Schizosaccharomyces pombe: one gene and its partners. The main gene of each other region encodes a partner of the protein of the gene in region 4 in a complex. Each region holds a gene or a part of one and is shown on either strand. Other genes may lie near its edges.

Region 1 (4,321 bases), 2.0 Mb from region 4:
TTTAAACGCTCAATTTGACGAATGGAGCTACTTTTGTTAATTTTAAAATTAAAAAACGAAAACAGCGAAAAGATGAATCGGATTTTTGCTATATTTTAGCCTCAATAGAAAACTTACTTCATAACAACCTAAGGTATTTTAAATGGTAATTAAACTTTGTAACAGATTGATTTCCAAATTTTTCTTTTAAAATAAAAAAAAAGATTGACAAAAATTAACAGTTGGAGGGCAAAATGGAGAAAAACAAGTTAGCGGCGGGTTTATGGCGTAGGCTTGAATTCCGGGCTTTGTAAAAAAGAAGATAAAACACGAGAATGGGTTTGAATAAGAGGATGTCCAGCAACTCTACATAATAATGTATTAGTTTTTGTGCAATTTAAAACGCTCTTTGGGGCAATAAGGCAAAATTAACATTCAATACTTACAGTCGTAAAAAATTTTCCAAACCTTGTCTACGTTCTTCGATAACATCATCTCTAAATCTTTGAGTGAATATCTTTCCTGGAAGTGGTGGAATTGAAACACGACCGGACTCTCTTTCAAGCATATCGTGAAATTTCTCGAATTCGCTGTAACGTCGACGAACGCTAGAATTATGTAGACGAAAATAGGGCATATTGGTCTACAAAAATGAGTTAATAATCTGCTATCAGAAGATGAATTTCAGTGGTACCTACCCGACAAACAATTTCATAAGTAGTAAACATGTTTCTTCCAATACCGTGAGTTTGTGGATTTATAACCTAAAATAACATCTATTAGAAATATTTCGAAATAATAAAGTAAACATACATCAATTTCAAGGATGTTTTCAGGAACATCATACATTTGTTGAGTAGTTTGCTGCCTGATTTCCGGTCTACTTAATTTATCCATTTATTTACCCTTATTACTCTTAAGAGCGATATCCAATATTATTTTACTGTTTAACAAGTAATAGTTGAAATTTTGAAGAAGTTTAAAAGTTTCGATACAAGGTGTAGTGTCTAGCTCAGATACGGGTACGGCTAATGAGATTCATAATCGGATCGCAAATTAGTAAGGCGTTTACTGTAAACATATCGCAGAGCATTTTTTCAAACTGCGTCGTCTAAAGATGAGAATGATAGTTCATTTGCTTCCAAAAAATAAAATGGATTCACTAACGTCCAAATCCTCCTCTCACTTTCAACAAAATTAACGAGTAATACAAAATCAAATATGTAGCATACAATCCATTATGATATTTTAATATGATAAGAGCAATTGCTAGTCAATATCACATTTTTGCTTTAATGACTATTCCACAACTCCATGCATGATGAAGAATTTGATTAAAACATGTGTAACAAGCAAAACATCAGAAGGTTAAAGCAAGATAACAGGTTATGACAAACAATTTGCTTGGAATAATTTCATATTTGAATGCATCTAATCAAATCGCTTTTTTTTTAATACAAACAGTTGTTTTTATTTATATATTTTGCGATGTGTTACATACTACGATATGCCAACTAACGTCAAATACCAAATTCTAATATTACGCATAGTGTAATTTATAGTGGAAGCGAGTACGTGAATGTATGGTCAAGTACTTGAATCTTTAGCAATGATCGGACTTAAAGGTATACTCAAAGTTATCGACAATTCCGTAAGTTTAAAATATTACTATTTGTACTAATAAGATGGAAAAGGGTGCTACCTTAGCTGAGTGCATTCGTGTAGTTCGCGCGGGAAAATTCGCTTCACTTGGTAAGTAGCACGAAGTGATCTTTTGTTTATATTCGACTAACATCACCTTTTTTTAAAAAACAGGTGATGAAGTGGTAGTAGTGGTAAAAAAGGCACGAAGCGGTTCATCAGTTACTGCTGCTAATAAAGTTAAACGCGGTGATATCCACCATGCTATCATTGTTCGGACGAAATCACCAGTTCGAAGACCCGATGGTCGTTATGTTCGTTTTGATGATAATGCCTGCGTCTTGGTTAATAAGGAGTGTGAGCCTCTGGGAACCCGTATCTTGTCAGTCGTTGCCAACGAGCTCAGAACAAAACATCATACTAAAATAGCATCTCTTGCTCCACGAACCATCTGAAAAGGGTATTGTAATGTTAATATTTCACTTAATTAAAATATATTTTTTAATTTTCTATTCTACGTCTAATTAAGGGACCTTGTCTCTTCAGCAAACACTTTTTACCTGATAGCCAATTAAGATTTTGCTTTTTTGGAGTTTTGTTACTCGTAAGCATTGTGGGGTTAAAAGGTTTTTACTACACACTTTTTTAGTAAAATACAGCTGTAGCAGGCTTTATTATATAGTCCATTATCTGTTAAATATATCTGATCGATCAAAAGAATTTAATGTTCTAGTAAGAATGGATTTGCTGGCGATTGATTTGGATTTTGATGTTAGTGAGTCAAAGCTTGAACGGAATAAGCGATTAAAACAGAAAGTAAGCATTGAAACTGATGGATGGACTCCAAGAGTTCAATGTTTTGGTGTATGTTACTCATTTTTTACTCCCAATTTATTGTCTATGATTTTAACAGATTATTCAGCATCTTAGTAAAAATGGCGTCGTCCTCGGTGAAGAAGCCTATATTTTAGAGCAATCAAAATTTGCAGCGGAAGAACAATATTATCTGGGAAACTATTCCTTAGCTAAAAAGTTTGCATTTCAAGCACTTGATGTTCCAACTGATAGTTCCAGCATTGAGTACCACAGACTGAGTTCAGGCGAAATCAATGAAATTGAAGACATCATCAGAAGATGCGAAATGAAACTTGAAAATAAGCAAAGCAATTAATTAGAAAAAATTTTTGTCTTGTCAAAGAGTACCTACCCAAAACTACACACTCTGTCTAATTTTTGTACATGATTTTCATGTGGAAACAGATTAATCACTACTTGTACCATCATCCTTTACAATTTGTCCTTGGTTTTGTTATTTGAATAAGAAATAAATTAATCAAATTCAATCGTGCATCATTTTTTGTATCATTAAATTTATAGTCTTTGTAGGCTTTTGAGTTATCGAGTTACCAATTATTCCTCATCAATCTTCATTAAAAAATTCTTTAGCGCTGTAAACCTTCCACGTTCCCATCCGCGTCAGTAAAGTAATCGATTTTATTAGTACTATAGGCTGACGCCGGAATTGCAGCTGGTGACATGATTAGAGGAGATGTAATAGATTGAGCAGCCGAACCCAGAGCCGCTGACAACGGTGTTGCAGGTACGCGGGCTATTGGGGACATCAAAGGAACAGGAGTGGCTAAAGATGACTCAGTGTAATGTCGAGCAGAGGAAGAAAGTAAGATAGTAAGATCTTTTGTAGATCTTGTTGCAGCTGAAAGACCAGCTAATACGCTTTTTTGGAATGTATATTCACTGGATAACGCTTTCGCTAAATTTGCGACTGCAATAATAGACTTGACAAATGCTTGAGTGTCGTCCAAAAAAAGCTGCCATTCCAATTCTTCCGGATTCGTTTGAAAAGTTAGAAGGCGATGCTTAAGTTTTCTAGTAACATCACAGGCGGCGGCGGATAATGATCCCAATTCACGTAACTTACTAATCAAATTGGGTGCGATGTTTTCATTTACTAGATCAGGCTGGTTATTTTTAGGAACAGCATCAATTAGTAATGTCAAAACTGACATTGCACTGTTTGTTGCTAAAGCGACCTGATCTTGTATTTGTTTATCAATTTCAGGATTCATCACTGATGCTGGTTTTTCAACGCTAACGATTCTGTTCGTAAGCCCAGATGCAGTCCGGATCATACTTGTCGGAGATTGACGTACCTGATCGGCGAATATGTTATTACCACTATGGGGTTGTGATGGACTCAATGGTACCAAGGCGTTTTGTAACTCCTTTGCAGCATCGAAAAGAATTAGCAGTAAAAGCCGAACATATCGGACATCCGCACGACTAGTGAGCTCATTTAAAAATTTTTTTGTCACTTCAATTAGTTTACGAAACGAGCTGATACAAGACAATGAAGCGTTTACTATGGAATTAATGTTTGCAGTTCCATCATTGCTTTGTTGGGTATCCTCAAAGCACAGAATTAGCCGCTTAATTTGAACATTGGCAGTATGTAACACATGACGCATAGAATCTAAAACAACGGGGTTGCTGCAAAAAAGAAGTTGCTGACGAAGGGCTTGTTGGACTTGCGAAAGCGAAAACAATATGCCCCTAGACGACTCTAAAGTTTTTTCAAAGGCCGAGTGCTTCATTTCAACCTCACTCCCTCCAATGTTACTGAAGTAGCTGTTGACCGAGTCATTTGTCAAATTGGAGCCATTTTCATGCGTTTCTTCTTTTT
Region 2 (5,410 bases), on a different chromosome or scaffold from region 4:
CCTCGTCTGAAGATTCAGAACTGCTGCTTCGTCGATTGACAAGATAAGATTGAATATCATGAGTAGGTGATCCGCTACGAGATTCAAAGCCGTCTGATTGAGTAGTTTCGGCTCTGGAGTCTGCTCTTGAATGTATTGACATTCCCATAATGGAAGGTGCAGTCCCACTATGGGTTGAGCTGGCACGTGAAGACTCAATCATTGAGATATATGTTGGTGCAGTATTCGATGTCGAAATTACCAATTCGTCCTCATCGTCATCCTTACCTTCGGTAGCAGATAATCGTGGAGTAAGAATGGTGTGCTGAGGAGCCATTGTACGTGAATGAAGCGAAGCAGGACGGGTGTGATAAACACCATGATGCTGGCTAGAAAATACCCTTGAGCGCATGCCTCCTAAGCCTTTGCTGGAAGACTTCCCATTTTGTGATGAACTTTTGATTGATGGGCTAGAGTGTAAAGGAGCCACACGGCCTATATCACTCCAGACAGTCGCCTTTGCACGGCGTAAACTCTGTACGTAAGAAAAAGTAGAACCATTTGACTCATGGTTGCTATTAATGGCATTCGAAGTTGGAAGGGAAGACCTCGAATATGGATCATCATGGCTCGATCGAGTAGCTAAACGTTCCATGCGATTAGTCTTCTGTCTAGTAATGATTATTATCTATTTATTCCTTCTTTGAATAAGTTGCTTGTAGAGTAATTCCAATTAATTTTTAAAAATTTCACAGACAAATGCCGGGATTAGAAAACGAATGGTGTTAAGATAGACAATCTTTTATTTGATTAAGCAATCAGCTAAAACTAATTAAACAAAGCTCATATATCTTTGAAAAGCGCAAGAATTAATGTTTCGTACTGAAAATTGCAAATGTGCGGAAGCTATGTTTACATGTCTCATTCTCGAACATACGGTGTCCCAGAGGTAAATCTTATTAGGTTTTACTGTAATATCCCATAAATTTCTGTAAATAACAATACGCAATTCAATGTGCTTTAGCGTACTGTAGATTCTTACACAAACGAGCCTTACATGCAAAAAGCCGATTTAATCTCCATTTTCCTTCTTAATTTTAAATACAAATTACATTTGACTTCCGATCTTCACTCATTATAGGAGACTGTACCGATTACATTGCCTATAGGGATCTTTCATCTCTCGTTATTCTCGTATAGCAAATTATAGCGCGTCGTAATTTTCTTTGGACGGCACATTCACTCTTTTGGAAACTGCATGTCTGCGAAGCAGTTGTAGAGAAGTAGATTTAAATGGATATCGTTGCAGAGACTCAGATTGAAGAAGAATCATTGATACCCGACGCCACTAGTACTCCATTAGAAACGGAAGTGGTGGCTGATACTACATTGCGTAAAACAGCTTTACATCTAGCTGGCGTCGATAATCTTTCAGAAGAACAAGTCAAAGGATTTATTTCAGCTTATGCTCCTGAATCTCAATGTACAATTGAATGGATTAATGATAACGAATGTAAGAAGCGAAAACTGGCAAAGGGTTAGTCTAACTCTATAACCGCGTATAGGCAACGTTGTTTATGCGGATGATGATGTTTCACGAAATGCTTTATTTCATTTAATTATGGAGTCTCCGACAGAATTTTCAGAGGAATTGGAATATCAAACGAAACCACACCCAACTGTACCGACGTGTCAATTCAAAATACGTTACGCCCGCTACGGAGACAAGAAGGTTAAAAGCGCACATCTTTACTCGAGATATTATCTGTTTCACGGTGATCCTCGAGAAGAAAAGGCTCAGAAGAGCAAATCTAAAAGGTATAACTTGTGAAAACCAAATTAGTCCGGGTGCACTCATACTTTTCAAAAATCATTTCCTCTACTTTTGAGAATCTCCTTTTACTCAATTTTATATTCAAATTACTAACACTTTCGCACAGTAGAAATCAAGATGAAAGGGGTTCGCCATTAGATGAACGACTAGGTCCTAAAGTGTCTGACCTTACACTGATGGAAAGAATATTCCAAGTTCGACGCAAGCCACGCAAATCAAGGAGAGACCGTCGTTCCAGGGTTTCCAAGCGTTAATTGTGTTGTAGAGAAATATTAAATACCCAGTTTATCCGCTTTTAAGTCGCTTTTCGCTGGACGAAGGCAAGAAAAAATTAATATGCTAAATTAGCTACAATTTTATAAATAAAATTTTTTTATTTAGTTGGCCATATTAAAATAAAACCGTTCTTTTCTGCGTTTAATAGAATACTCTTTTGGTACCTGAATGATATCGATAACCCTTTTAAGGTAGATGTAAGCAAACGACAATTTTGAATGGGATAGTCCTTAGCTTTAAGCAACGTTGTGATGAACAAAAATTACCAATACAGATTTAAATTGTAAGAGCTAAACTCTTAAAAAATGCTTAAAATTTTTCGTCGATAAATGACGGTCGACACAAAATAACTATACATAAATGCATCTGGTCCACAAATGGATAGGTAATAGCATCGACTATTAAAATGGAGAAGGGATCATGAAAATTGAAATGCATTACGGTAATGTAAAACATAGAAATGTAAAAGTCATGAAGACAGAGATCATTAATAAAATGATTACCGCTTTTCCTTTCCACGAGGACGATCGCGGACGAGTAATTTATTAACATTTTTACCTCTTCTTGTTTTGTATCCACCTTTAGCCAAAACACCCCAAGGAGATTGAGAAGGTTTATTACCAATGCTTTTACCACCACCACCACCATGTGGATGGTCACATGGATTCATAGCTGTACCTCGAACCGTAGGACGAATGCCAAGCCAACGTGAACGACCGGCTTTACCAAGCTGGCGATGTTGCCAATAAATATTGCTTACAACACCAATGGTAGCAAATGATGTATCCAAAATCTTTCTCTCTTCACCACTTTGTAGACGAACGATAGCATATTTACCATCAAAAGCTATGATACGAGCGCTACTGCCAGCAGAACGACATAGCTTTGCCTTTTGATTTGGATTTACACCAATGGCATGAATGACAGTTCCTATAGGAATTAATCTGAGAGGAAAACAATTTCCTGGCTTCAAATTTTTTGCTGCAAAAGTTCCATCTTCAATTTCAGCAGCTAGGACGGGGTCCATTTCTACTGGCTCGCCATTAGAACCAGTCTTCAAAAGCGATCGAAAGCTCTCAACTGTATCGCCTTCGCGAAGCCCGTCACAAGCCAAAATATAACTTTTGTTGGCTGTTTCGGAATTCAATTTTTCAACAAGGGCAATGTGACCACTTCTACCAGGGTCATACTCAATTCTAATCACTCGATGAACACCCGGTACTTTTCTTTCAAAGTCAACAAGACGAATACGTTGTTTGTGTCCACCACCCTGATGCCTTACAGTAATTCTTCCTGTTTCATTTCTTCCACCTTTTTTTCTTTTTGCAACGGTCAAAGGTCGAAAAGGTTTCCCTTTCCAAAGGTAATCACTAACTGGTCTTTTTAAATGACGAAGACCAGGAGATATAGGTTTGTAAGTTTTAATCTTGATAAGAATTAGTAAAAAATGAATTAAGGCTTGATAAATAAAAAGTAACCCTCGTGTTAATATTACATACCTCGAACTTCGTTTTTGGTCGTAGAAGCATCCCTACATCGTAGGGTCTCTCGGAAGATTCAATTTTTTCACCGCTTGTAGATGCGGTAGAGGCATATCTGAACAGCTTTAACGCATGAATTTGAGGAATCAAATACCCCCGAAATCGATTATAACTCAACATGGGGATTTCCAACTAAACCTATGGTAAGAACTCACAATATGATGGACTGCGAATTAACGAGTTCAATCATAATTTGCGACGCTCAGTGCTAAAATCTTTACACAATCCAAGGTGTCGTTAACTGTGTAAATAAATGAACATTGATCTAGGGAATACAACATAGAGGAAATTGAACACATTAGCTATAATAATGAAGAACTTTGTTTTATTGTTTGATCATCTGTGTAGTAAATATTTTATACATTGTAAACCCGATTCTATACGTTTGAAAGTAATGGCAGGTCAACTGAGAATTTCAACCACGTTATAATATATTGGAAATTTTGATAAATTGAATTTGCTTTTCCTTCGAGTTGAGCAAAGTTAAACTAGAATTTACGACACCTGTAATAAGCCTGCTGAGCATGAAGAGTTTAAGGGATTCAAGGTATCAGGAAAACATTGCTTTCTCACAAAACTCTTCTCACATTCCTTTTTGGATGTGTGCTTAATTAATTACTAAATAAGTTCACATACCAAAAAAATCTTATTTAATATACAGTTTCAACGAAAAGTTTCAACTATGGAAATTTGTTTTGTTAACTCGTTCATTTTCGTTTCAAAACAATTCGAAGATGGGGTTGATCTGCGTTTGTTTAATATAGCTTATTAGTTTGCTTATGAAAGGTTTCGATACTATACTCTGTGTACACTGACAAAGGTCAATCAACATGAAAAGCCTTGAGATGCCATTTTCCAAAAAAAAAAGTGAAAAACACTATTTGATTGACTAGGATCTTCCAAATTCTTACAGATATTAGGTATTTTGACAACATCAAAATTGTCAAGTTTGCAATTCAAAAATGTTGCAAGTAAAATAACTGGTGTCAGGAAAAAAGGACTAATATTTATTGACTTCATATTAATTAGTCAATTGTAGAACAAGATATGTGGTACCCATGACCTCTTTGTTTATTGAGTACTTCTATAATGACTTACTTCAACTTTGCCTTCACCAACGCCAACGCGAAAACAGCCAACTTCAAGTAGGCAAAAGGAACAGACCGATTTGAAAGCATGATTGAGCATCTTAAAGGATGATTCAAAATGGTGGAAATAGCTATGTGGATTCCAATATGAATGAAACGCAAAATGATACAACTGACAACTTTGATGCTGAAATGCAAGATCTAAACGGGTATATAAGCGAAATTGTCGATGAGGCTAGGAATGTATCTGAAGTTGATGCAAAATTTTTGGGAGATACCTCTGCCCTTCAAGCTGAGGGCCTTTGGTCAGACGAAGAGTCAGATTATGAAGGCAGTGACGATGAATCAAACTTTAGTAAAACAGCCTCAAGAACCGAGGACGACATTGCGAACGAGGAATGGGAAGAAAATTTAAAGGCAGTTGCTGGATTTAGAAAAGTCCGTAAAGGTCATAAAGGTCGAGGACGTGTTAGTCGAGCTGATATGCTTCCCTCGGTGGAAGTGCAACAAATGTTGAGTTTAGCGAATCATTTGTTTGCGCAAGAAGGAAACTTCGACGAAGCCCAAAAATTAGCTGAAGAGATTGTTCGTATTGATAATAATGTCATTGCGGCTTGGAAAATGCTTGGTGAATGTCATCGTCAAAGGGGTAATGGAAGAGTAAATATTGAAAAGTGCTTAATTGCTTGGAT
Region 3 (5,319 bases), on a different chromosome or scaffold from region 4:
TAGTTAGCCTTTAATTAATTCTGTGAAAGCTGATGCCCATGATAAACTCTTTTTAACAAAAACAAAGTATGAATATTAGATTAAAGATTATTTGAACACAACCAACCCAATTGCGCAACAAATTTTCATGCTGATACCCCCTTAGGATGCAAAGTATACAAGTAAGCCTCCGCAGAGCATATTCAGGAAATAAATACAAACATATTCTTACCTATGGGGCAATTGTCTCCAGGACTTGTGCATTGAGGGCAGCATCCATCGAATGGAACACGACATATACCACAAACGTCGTCTTTTGGGGTATCCCACGTCCAGTTAGCAATTGCATGGTATCCTAGTGGTTAGAAAACAATTTTATTTCCAAAATATTCGCTTACTCAGTATTTTCACCTTCATAGTCTTTGTATATTGTATTTGAGATCTAATTAAATAAACATTAGTGTTTTTTGCTAGCTAATGTTTTACGTTCTACCACGGTATTAAGAAAACAATTCAGGCGAAAAACAAAATGTCGTAAGAAGAGAAGAGTTAGTAGATTTACAGTTGATATTTGGCTTTAGCTATACATCTTTTCGTTTTCTGAAAGTTTAAAATTTCTAACTAAAACTAATTTTCATTGGACTGTAACAAGCCGGCTACATTCGACATGCTAACAAAATTTTTATATTTATGATACTTTGCTTCTTTAGCTTATAACATATTGTTGAGCTCAAGTTTTATACTTTTTTACATGAATAATTTCAAATATTATTCAAAATAATCAAAGCGCAGAATTATGAAGAGGCAAGCCTACATACAGCTCAAATTTATAAGAAAAAAGTAGAGGTTTTGATTCATAGTGCCTCACAAATTCATCTGGGAAAATTAATGGCAATGACATGTGACTTGTCGATTCAAAGAATGAGAAGGGGGTAAAAGGCTCAAAGGAGGTGATTCATTGCCGTTTCATGGAATCGATAATACGTGTTTTGACAAACAGGCTAAAGCCGAAATATACATCCAAATCTCTAAATCTGTTCCAGAAAACCAACCAACGCCTCTTATAATGCAGTTCTAAATGCAATAGCCTGTAGAAAAAGACAAGTAGATAGGGAAACATAGAGTGTAAACGAACTATAAATCATACAGCGCTTCTTGAATAAAATCATGAAAGATTCGCAAAAAAAAAGAAATTTACTTGCAGAAGTTGCAATGATTGTGTCAAGGTTTATGTTGATTTTGTTCAATGTATTTTCGCACCAGTGATTCAACAGGTGGAAGACGAAAGCGAGGTTGACGCAAGTAACTTAAGTATGCTCTTCTAGGTCTTTTAGATAGACCATTTTCTTTGAGGACAACAATACGTTTAATTTGTGGAGAGTAAATTGGTAACAAATATTCGACTCCAACACCCATTACCACGTTTCGTAACAGGATTGAACTTTTTGGTCCACGATGCCGAATTCGCAGTAGATAACCAGCAAATCTGTTGACTGAATCTTTTGATGGGTATTTTGAGTAGCTTTCAACCAGTAAAACCGCGCCTGGTCTTACTCGATTTGGCTGCGAGCGATGAAACATTTTGAATCGCTCAGATTGCTCATCCAATACTGAACGGCACTTTTTTTCGAATAATGATAACACATCTTTGTGCTTTGGACCTGGTACTGGCTTTGGAAAGTTATAAGGCCGTTTTAACGATCCAATACCTCTCTTTTGTAGCCATTGAAAGCCCAATCCTAAATTGAAAAAGTGTTTGGCATTAAACATGTCTTCCAAAAGTCATTAAATACCGTTCGTTAGTAAGAATGACAAAACACTATATTCTACAGAGTATCTTTTTAAGTAAGTACGATGGTATTCAAAATGAATTAGCAAATTCTGCACAACGTATTTCGTTATATGTTATTTATTGTCAACCTTCCATTACGCTATATTAGACTATGTAAGTTAATACAGTTGATTATATATTTTTATATGATTTATCCATCAAGGATTGTGTTTCTGACCTTGAATGTTCAAGGCAATAGAAAGATTCCTGTTGAACCCGAATGAATATACGTGTTCCAATTCAGTTACATGGCTTCTCATTGTAGTTATAATACTATCAATAACTCGCTGGTATTCAGAAAACTTCAATAGCAAGATTTGCTTTTTTCTTTCCACCTTAATGTTCCATTTTCGTAAAAGATATTATTTTATATGCAATCAATTATATACTCTAATATGAATATGCGTTAATGTAATCTCTGTATTCCTGATTTCGAACTCTCCTTAATTAACGTTAATTTTCTATACTATTTTCTCCACAAGCAAATCTTGCGAAACGAACGATACGATAATGATTTAGAAAGTTGATTTACTCAAAGCAACTTTAGTTTCTGTATAACATTTGATACTCTTTGATCAGTTCTTTTTTTATTTTTTTTGATTTTTAGAATAACACTTTTCAGGAGCTACTGTTCGAAGATAATCCTCTCTTTTACTTTGACTGATATATCATTTCTCTAAATTCAACAGATTATCACGTAAGATAGAAGTCATACATTCCTTTCTATTTCCTTCTCAGGTCCTATAAAAAAGTTACGACACACAAAACATTATAGAGATATCCATATTCAAGACAAAAATATATCAACATGAAAGTGTAAGTTGAAACCAGTCTTTTTTCTTTTTTTCTGTTTTGTCCATCTCTAACTAGCGTCTTTGGCAGGACCTGCTCTGCTCCTGGTAAAGTACTTATAGCTGGTGGATACATTGTTTTAGATCCTCAATACAGCGGGCTTGTTATTGGTTTAACTGCCAAAGGGTACGCTTCCACAACGACTTTGGACGATAAATGTGGAACGGTTCGTGTGAAAAGCCCTCAATTCATTAACGCTGAATGGCTTTATAATATTGATTGGACTGTATCTCCTATTCGAGTTCATCAGATATATGAAAACTGTGAATTGGAAAAAAATCCAAACCCCTTCGTTCAACTGGCACTTTTTTATGTAATTAACTACTTTTTTTCCACGGGGCGACAACCTTTATGCTGGCAAGATCTTCAAGTTACATTGCAGGTAGATAATGCCTATTATCACCAACCACAGTTAAAGCCTGATCAAACAAGCTATCCAAAATTCAATTTCTTAAACTGTACTTTAGGTCAAGTACATAAGACTGGTTTAGGAAGCTCGGCAGCTATGATTACAAGTCTTATAGGTTCATTATTTTTAAGTCTTAGACGACTAACAGATGACACTGGTGACAAATCTCTCAAAATTGATGATTCAACCAAAGTCATAGTTCACAATCTGGCACAAATTGCCCACTGTTCTGCACAAGGAAAAGTAGGAAGTGGGTTTGATGTTGGCGCTGCCACTTGGGGAAGTTGTATTTATAGAAGGTTTGATCCTAAATTAATTGAACAACTGCTGGTCCCATACGACGAACAAATAAAGAACATAAATTTTTCCACCGAACTGAGAAAAATAGTTTCTAAAAAATGGTCAGATGTTGTTCCATTTCAATTGCCTGCTACTTATTGTTTGCTAATGGGGGACGTAGCTGGTGGCAGTAGCACACCGGGTATGGTAAAAAAAGTACAGCAATGGCAAAAGGAAAATCCAGAGGAATCTAAGAATTGCTTTGATGATTTGTATTCAAGAGTGCTTTCCATCAAAAACTGTTTTCTTTCTTCTGAAAGCTTAGACTCTGAACTTCAAAGTCAATTTCGATCCATTCGTCGTATTCTTCAAAGAATTACCGTTGAAGCAAAGGTTGACATAGAACCTTTAAAGCAAACAAATATTTTAGACAACATAGAGCAGTTGCCTGGTGTCATTGGTGTGGGAGTTCCTGGAGCCGGCGGATTTGATGCACAATTTTGTTTGGCCATTAACCATACGGAGATAATCGAAAATGTTATCAAAACATGGAAAGATGATGGGGTAGTACCCATGGACGTTTCTCCTGCTTTCGATGGGCTAGCCGTAGAATAAACAAGACTAACTATAGAGATTGCTGACACAGTATTGGCGCTATTTTTCTAGTTCTAGATCTATGATTTCTATTCTATTTTCGCTTTCAAAATCTCGTTCGTCAGTTTCTAAAGAAGTAGTGAAAACCGTAGACAGGAACTCTCTCCATCTCAATACTCTTTTGCATTTTGTACACATTCCTTCGATTGGAAGAACCTGGCATTCTTCTGTCAGAAAACTGCTTGCAAGGCAAGTTAAATGATTTATTGAATTGCAATCCGTAAAAGGGCAATTAGCCCGCAATTCATCAGATTCGATACATTCGTAGCATAGGTTACACTTAACAGGCTCTGATATTGTCTTTCTTAAACATAATTTATGATCGTAAGTTTTTTGGATTACTTTTTCGTGAAACCCATTTAACCATTCTTCGTCGAAGTATACATTGATATTACCATAAGTTTTACCAAGTTGATTCCATTTACTGAAAGCAGTTTTATTTAGAAATGTGATGTTTAATGGCCATCTTCTCCACGTATCACTGTCAACCAAATGCTTTAAACCTTTAAGACAATACATAATGGTTTTTTGTTTTTTTGAACGGAAATCACAATCTTTAGTGTACCTCGAGATTCCCAGATTTTGCCAATTCCATTCGAACTTTAAAGCAGACACTTTGTTAGGAAAGCCGTAAACTAAACATGAAATCGACCAAGGGCGCCCGTGTTTAGTTTTTGATGCACCACCAACTATTTCCCCATTATGTTGCCGCAATCGCTAAAACAAATTAGTTTCCTATAATAGCACAAAATACCTACTCTAGGTGGATCTGGTGTGGAACCGATATAAACAGCTCCACTTGATTGTGTCCTATTCGACTTTAGTAAATAACAGCAGTAGAAATTGCACAAATCCATGTTTCATAATTCTTTTCGATAGCACTTTTCTCTTAACCCGTGGTAATCGAACAATTAACTAGTGGTAATTTTATAAGCTTGTTAAGTTAATTAATTGAAAGTATAATCTAAAAGTATTTTTTCTTTCAGCTTTGTCTTCGAATAATAGTAAGAAAACAATGTAAAACAAAAGGTCACCGTTACTGTCTTTAGGGTTATCCACGTAAATCTGTAAGATTAAATTGTTATTTGACGTGCTTCATTACTTTCTCTTTCACTAAGGATTATTTATAATTCAAAAAAAAGGAAAGAATTACTGAACCTATTTAAGCACCGTCTAAGCGTGTTTTTTTTGTTGTATTAAATTCTCAACAAAGCTACTTCAAAGGACCTACCTTGTCCTCTCCTTCATATACACTAATTAAGAAATCTTTAGATTTTTAATACTCGGTCGTCAATACTCAATGATTGCTAACAGT
Region 4 (3,984 bases):
CCAGCTAATTTTTTAAAAGACTCACTATGTGCTGAAGGTATCACATACCATTGCAATGAAGAGCCACCTAAATGTACCTGAACTGCATGCAGCTCAGGAGATTCTACCCGCCAAGGAAGGGTAGTTTTCCATTTCCCAGCAAATAAGTGACCAACATTTGGCCAAGTGTTAATCAATGTATTCGATCTTAAATGTACCCTATCTTTTTGAGCAGCAGATATCGAAGGTATAAAATAGAAGGGGATCGATGGGCGATTAGTATATCCATACCACAGACTGTCATGGGTCAAAGAACGCCAATAATATGCAATAGCTTTAGCCACATTGTTTTCAAAGTCATTAGAACTTCCAGCGTTTGAAGGAAACCTGTCGTCGACATTCATATCGGTAGGCTTTTTAGGACCAGCCGAGCCATGGTCTATATCGCTTTGAATCTCGAAGTACTCTCCTTTCCGTCTCACCATTCGCTCTAACCATAAATCCATTTTTACATCGGAAGGTTTCATTGTATCTTCGTTCCAAGGATTTAAAACAGAACTAGGACGAACAACTTTAATTGCGCCGTATTTCTTGCCAAGCCTTTCAACGCGCCGAATAAAACTTTCCATATCTACAAATTCTGAAATTTTCTAAACAAATTTTGTTAACATCCACAAAATATTTAATATTTTTCGCGTAAACTTACTGGTTCCACAACAGGTATGCCATCTGACCCTTCGATATGATAATCGATTTCACACTCCAAAGAACTCACTGATGTGTCACTTTTGCCAGCATGTTTCTCTTTAACATTTTGCTGCATAGCAATCTATTTTTCAGCCTTTGGATTGAATATTTTGGTGTTTTTGAGACATCCACCAATTCGTGGGATTTGCTAAATTTTCCTTTAACAATCTTTTACCAAGGCAAATGACGCATCTGCACTCCAGTTCCATACCCAAATTAGCAAAGTATAACGAACTCGTTATACCAGCAACTAAAAACATAAACAAATTCTCAAAAATTGATCATTTCAAATTAATCGATTAGCATGCCAAACCAAATAACGTAGAATCAAAGTTATTAGATGATGCGGTCAATTAGCTATTTTAGGGACTAAGAAGGTCAGAGACTCAACATTAAAATTTTCATTTGTAAACAAAAAATGGAGCTACACTGTTGAGTTGACTCCACTTTAATAAAAGTATTCCTTATTTTAAAATAATGTGATAAATTTCAGGTCAAATTGCTCCACAGTAAGCTGGCTATTGAATTTATAGAATAACAAGACATGTTGGTTGTCACTAACTGACATGTCGTAGGTTAGCTTACTAGAAGCACTAACTACTATTTATTTTCCCAACAAAGAATATCCAACAAATCGGGCGTAAGCGAGTTTATATAACTTAGTATTCACCTTTTTTTTTTATGAAAATCTTCTCTTGTTGATAGGCATTTTCTATTATCGTTCTTTTTTGGCTCAGTCCAAATTGTGAACACTTTTCCATCGTACATCATTTATTTAGCTCAGAATTACTTCGGATCCAAAAAAATTTAAACATCTTGACTTGAAGTCCCAGTTTCACTTTTTTTTTAACTTATAATGGCTTCATTAGGTCGTAAATTTTTTGCTGTGGGTGTTTTGTCACGAGTCTTCCCTTCTGCTTTTAATGCACAAAAAGGGTTGTTAAAAAATGCATCTATGTTCTTAACCCCTGCTTTCAGACTTTCTCCTAGCCTTCTACCTTGGAACTTTTCAAGAGGTTTCAAAGTGAAAGCATCAGTAAAAAAGCGTTGTTCATCCTGCTATTTTGTGCGTCGCAAAGGTAGGTTGTATGTACTATGCAAAAAACATCCGAGACATAAAACCCGTCAAGGTTAATGACTATAACCGGTTTCGCTTCTTCTTTTTTTTTCTACCTAGGCTAATTCTTCATTACGCTCACTTCATATTACGACGATTTTTGGACTACCTACCAAATCCTTACTCCCTTCTCTCTCGTTAATGCGTAGTCATTAAATGTGATATTATTGTTGACATTATAGCTTCATGCTAAAGAATTCATAAAAACATACGTAATCTTAAATGATATGCTTTCGCATCTTAGTCGATTTTTTTCAAAGCCTCAGTAAGCCTTTCTATACTTTTCTCATTATCAGTAATAACACCTTGATTTTTCTGGATACGCGTCGTTAAGTAATGAGCACGATCCTTCACACCTGATTCAAGGTTCCCAAGGTCCTTTAGCATTTGTAGCTCCTGTTCATCATTCTTGATAGCATTGTTAGCCATGCCAATTAACGCGTTACATCTCACCAACTGCATATTAGCACTTAATACTGGATCATTTACAAGTTGCCGGAAAGCCGTAACATATACAGGTTTTCCAGCGTAGACTTTATCCGGTCTTGCATTCACTGTGGTAATAGTAATCAATTCTGATTCTTCCAAGGCACGAACGGCATCGTCGTGTCCTTTGAACAGTGGGTCAAGCATCAACATATGATAGGGTATATATTCATGTTGAGATAAATAAGTAATTAAGGTCCATGACTCTTCTGGAGTGAACGTTGGCTTCTCCTCACTGGTTAAAGAAGCAGGCCGTAAAAATGTTTGCAAAATATCAGAGGCATTTTGACTTACAATACCGCCAATTGCTTCAGAAACACTGGAAGAATTAACCCGCAACCTACGAGCTACATAATCAAGATCACGAAGTCGGCCACCAATCTTCGGTAATTGGACCCGCAATTCTTTCCTCAATTCTTCTGTTTGCATCTCTTCGGGTAAAGACTCTATGACATATCGCTGAGCAAGTACAGGGTCAGCATCTCCTAATAACAATGTTCTATTTTCCCAACCGTTGACATATTGCTCTAATGACTTGGTGCCTCCAACATCGGGTGTTAGCATTAGTACATGAGCAATTCCTTCCTTTACCAAATTACCAGCCCATTCAGCAACCACTCTCTGCATCGGGTTTGATAATTTACGAAGCTGGAAATTGTCGAGAATAACAACAGGTAAGCGATCTGCATGAACTTCTAAAAACTCAGATTCATCCAACACACTAGTATCGGCTTCTTTATGCTCTCGTAATGCTAGAGAACGCAATACCGTTTGTGTTGTGTTAAGAATTTGCCGCACTTGTCCTTCACTAGAAGAAACAATTCCCGTTTTTTGTCCTATGAGACCTTGTGCAGCCATATCGATAAGTGACGATATGTTGTTTAGGAAGCTAAAGAGGGGGAAATACCCCGTTTGGCTAGCAAGAGTACTTACGAACATTTCCGTATTAGTAGTGGAGAATAAGCGATCACAGTCGAAAAACAAAACATTTTTTCGTTCTTTAACAACTCGATCTACCAGATCACGCTTACCACTACCACGAGGACCTTGAACAACAATAAAAGAATGTAATGCTTCATCCAACCATTCTTTCAACTGTTCACAATCCTTTTCACGTGTTGTCCAAATCGGTGCCTTTATATTTGTACCATTTTCGTGAAAGGGACTCAAAACTATATCGCGAGTTTTCTTTTTGACCCACCCAACAACATTGATATTTCTCAACTTCTGACCATGTACAATGTTTGTCTCGACAAAGAACTTTCTTATCGGATCGAATAAAGAAGCCGTTAAAACTGTAATAGCCGCCGCAACCAAAGGAATAGTAAAACGAGGATGAGAGAATAACCAGTCTTTGAAGGCGACAAAGCGGTTCATATGTCTGTATCGCATGTGGAATTCTGTTTTCCCATAAACAAAACCATGCATACAGTTTAAAGCTGACGTAGCGGACCTTAGCGATGAAAAACTCAAAGTAGCAGAAGTAGGTGAATTAATGGTCACGGATCTTAGTTTTCCATATGTCCTAAAAATACTATACAATCTTTCCTGGGAAAGGGGCGGACCTTCGAAATTCACATCTACTGTACGAGATGGAAATATATATAAATCTTGAAGCCAAGGAATACCATGTACCATGTGTGGAATCGGGGTAG

The links.
Region 1: rtc6 (region 4) and mrpl38 share a complex: the UniProt entries of both Schizosaccharomyces pombe proteins name them as parts of the mitochondrial large ribosomal subunit.
Region 2: rtc6 (region 4) and rml2 share a complex: the UniProt entries of both Schizosaccharomyces pombe proteins name them as parts of the mitochondrial large ribosomal subunit.
Region 3: rtc6 (region 4) and img1 share a complex: the UniProt entries of both Schizosaccharomyces pombe proteins name them as parts of the mitochondrial large ribosomal subunit.

Annotation. Positions count from the first base shown.
Region 1 is NC_003423.3:3,549,760-3,554,080, forward strand, and holds mrpl38 (putative mitochondrial ribosomal protein subunit L38), read left to right. Parts: upstream 1-1,584; 5' UTR 1,585-1,588; coding exon 1,589-1,630; intron 1,631-1,673; coding exon 1,674-1,731; intron 1,732-1,794; coding exon 1,795-2,075; 3' UTR 2,076-2,132; downstream 2,133-4,321. Other genes in the region: RNA-binding protein Cwf29, read right to left, coding at 1-27, 118-122; sorting nexin Snx3, read right to left, coding at 261-345, 426-622, 678-743, 793-876; SPOM_SPBC887.08 (uncharacterized protein), read left to right, coding at 2,359-2,484, 2,543-2,791; leucine-rich repeat protein Sog2, read right to left, coding at 3,063-4,321. UniProt on the Schizosaccharomyces pombe protein: Component of the mitochondrial ribosome (mitoribosome), a dedicated translation machinery responsible for the synthesis of mitochondrial genome-encoded proteins, including at least some of the essential transmembrane subunits of the mitochondrial respiratory chain.
Region 2 is NC_003421.2:694,262-699,671, reverse strand, and holds rml2 (mitochondrial 54S ribosomal protein uL2m), read right to left. Parts: upstream 3,761-5,410; 5' UTR 3,751-3,760; coding exon 3,589-3,750; exon of another isoform or gene 3,565-3,588; intron 3,516-3,564; coding exon 2,589-3,515; 3' UTR 2,190-2,588; downstream 1-2,189. Other genes in the region: protein mug123, read right to left, coding at 1-634; RNA cap binding protein cbc3, read left to right, coding at 1,273-1,492, 1,545-1,797, 1,920-2,067; transcription factor TFIIIC subunit Sfc4, read left to right, coding at 4,827-5,410. UniProt on the Schizosaccharomyces pombe protein: Component of the mitochondrial ribosome (mitoribosome), a dedicated translation machinery responsible for the synthesis of mitochondrial genome-encoded proteins, including at least some of the essential transmembrane subunits of the mitochondrial respiratory chain.
Region 3 is NC_003424.3:1,638,185-1,643,503, reverse strand, and holds img1 (mitochondrial 54S ribosomal protein bL19m), read right to left. Parts: upstream 1,810-5,319; 5' UTR 1,750-1,809; coding exon 1,201-1,749; 3' UTR 572-1,200; downstream 1-571. Other genes in the region: anaphase-promoting complex ubiquitin -protein ligase E3 subunit Apc11, read right to left, coding at 212-334, 378-396; erg8 (phosphomevalonate kinase), read left to right, coding at 2,619-2,626, 2,693-3,965; structure-specific endonuclease catalytic subunit Slx1, read right to left, coding at 4,005-4,721, 4,763-4,861. UniProt on the Schizosaccharomyces pombe protein: Component of the mitochondrial ribosome (mitoribosome), a dedicated translation machinery responsible for the synthesis of mitochondrial genome-encoded proteins, including at least some of the essential transmembrane subunits of the mitochondrial respiratory chain.
Region 4 is NC_003423.3:1,518,089-1,522,072, reverse strand, and holds rtc6 (mitochondrial 54S ribosomal protein bL36m), read left to right. Parts: upstream 1-1,582; coding exon 1,583-1,861; 3' UTR 1,862-2,043; downstream 2,044-3,984. Other genes in the region: Lid2 complex histone demethylase H3-K36 subunit Jmj3, read right to left, coding at 1-629, 686-802; RNA-binding protein Yme2, read right to left, coding at 2,084-3,984. UniProt on the Schizosaccharomyces pombe protein: Component of the mitochondrial ribosome (mitoribosome), a dedicated translation machinery responsible for the synthesis of mitochondrial genome-encoded proteins, including at least some of the essential transmembrane subunits of the mitochondrial respiratory chain.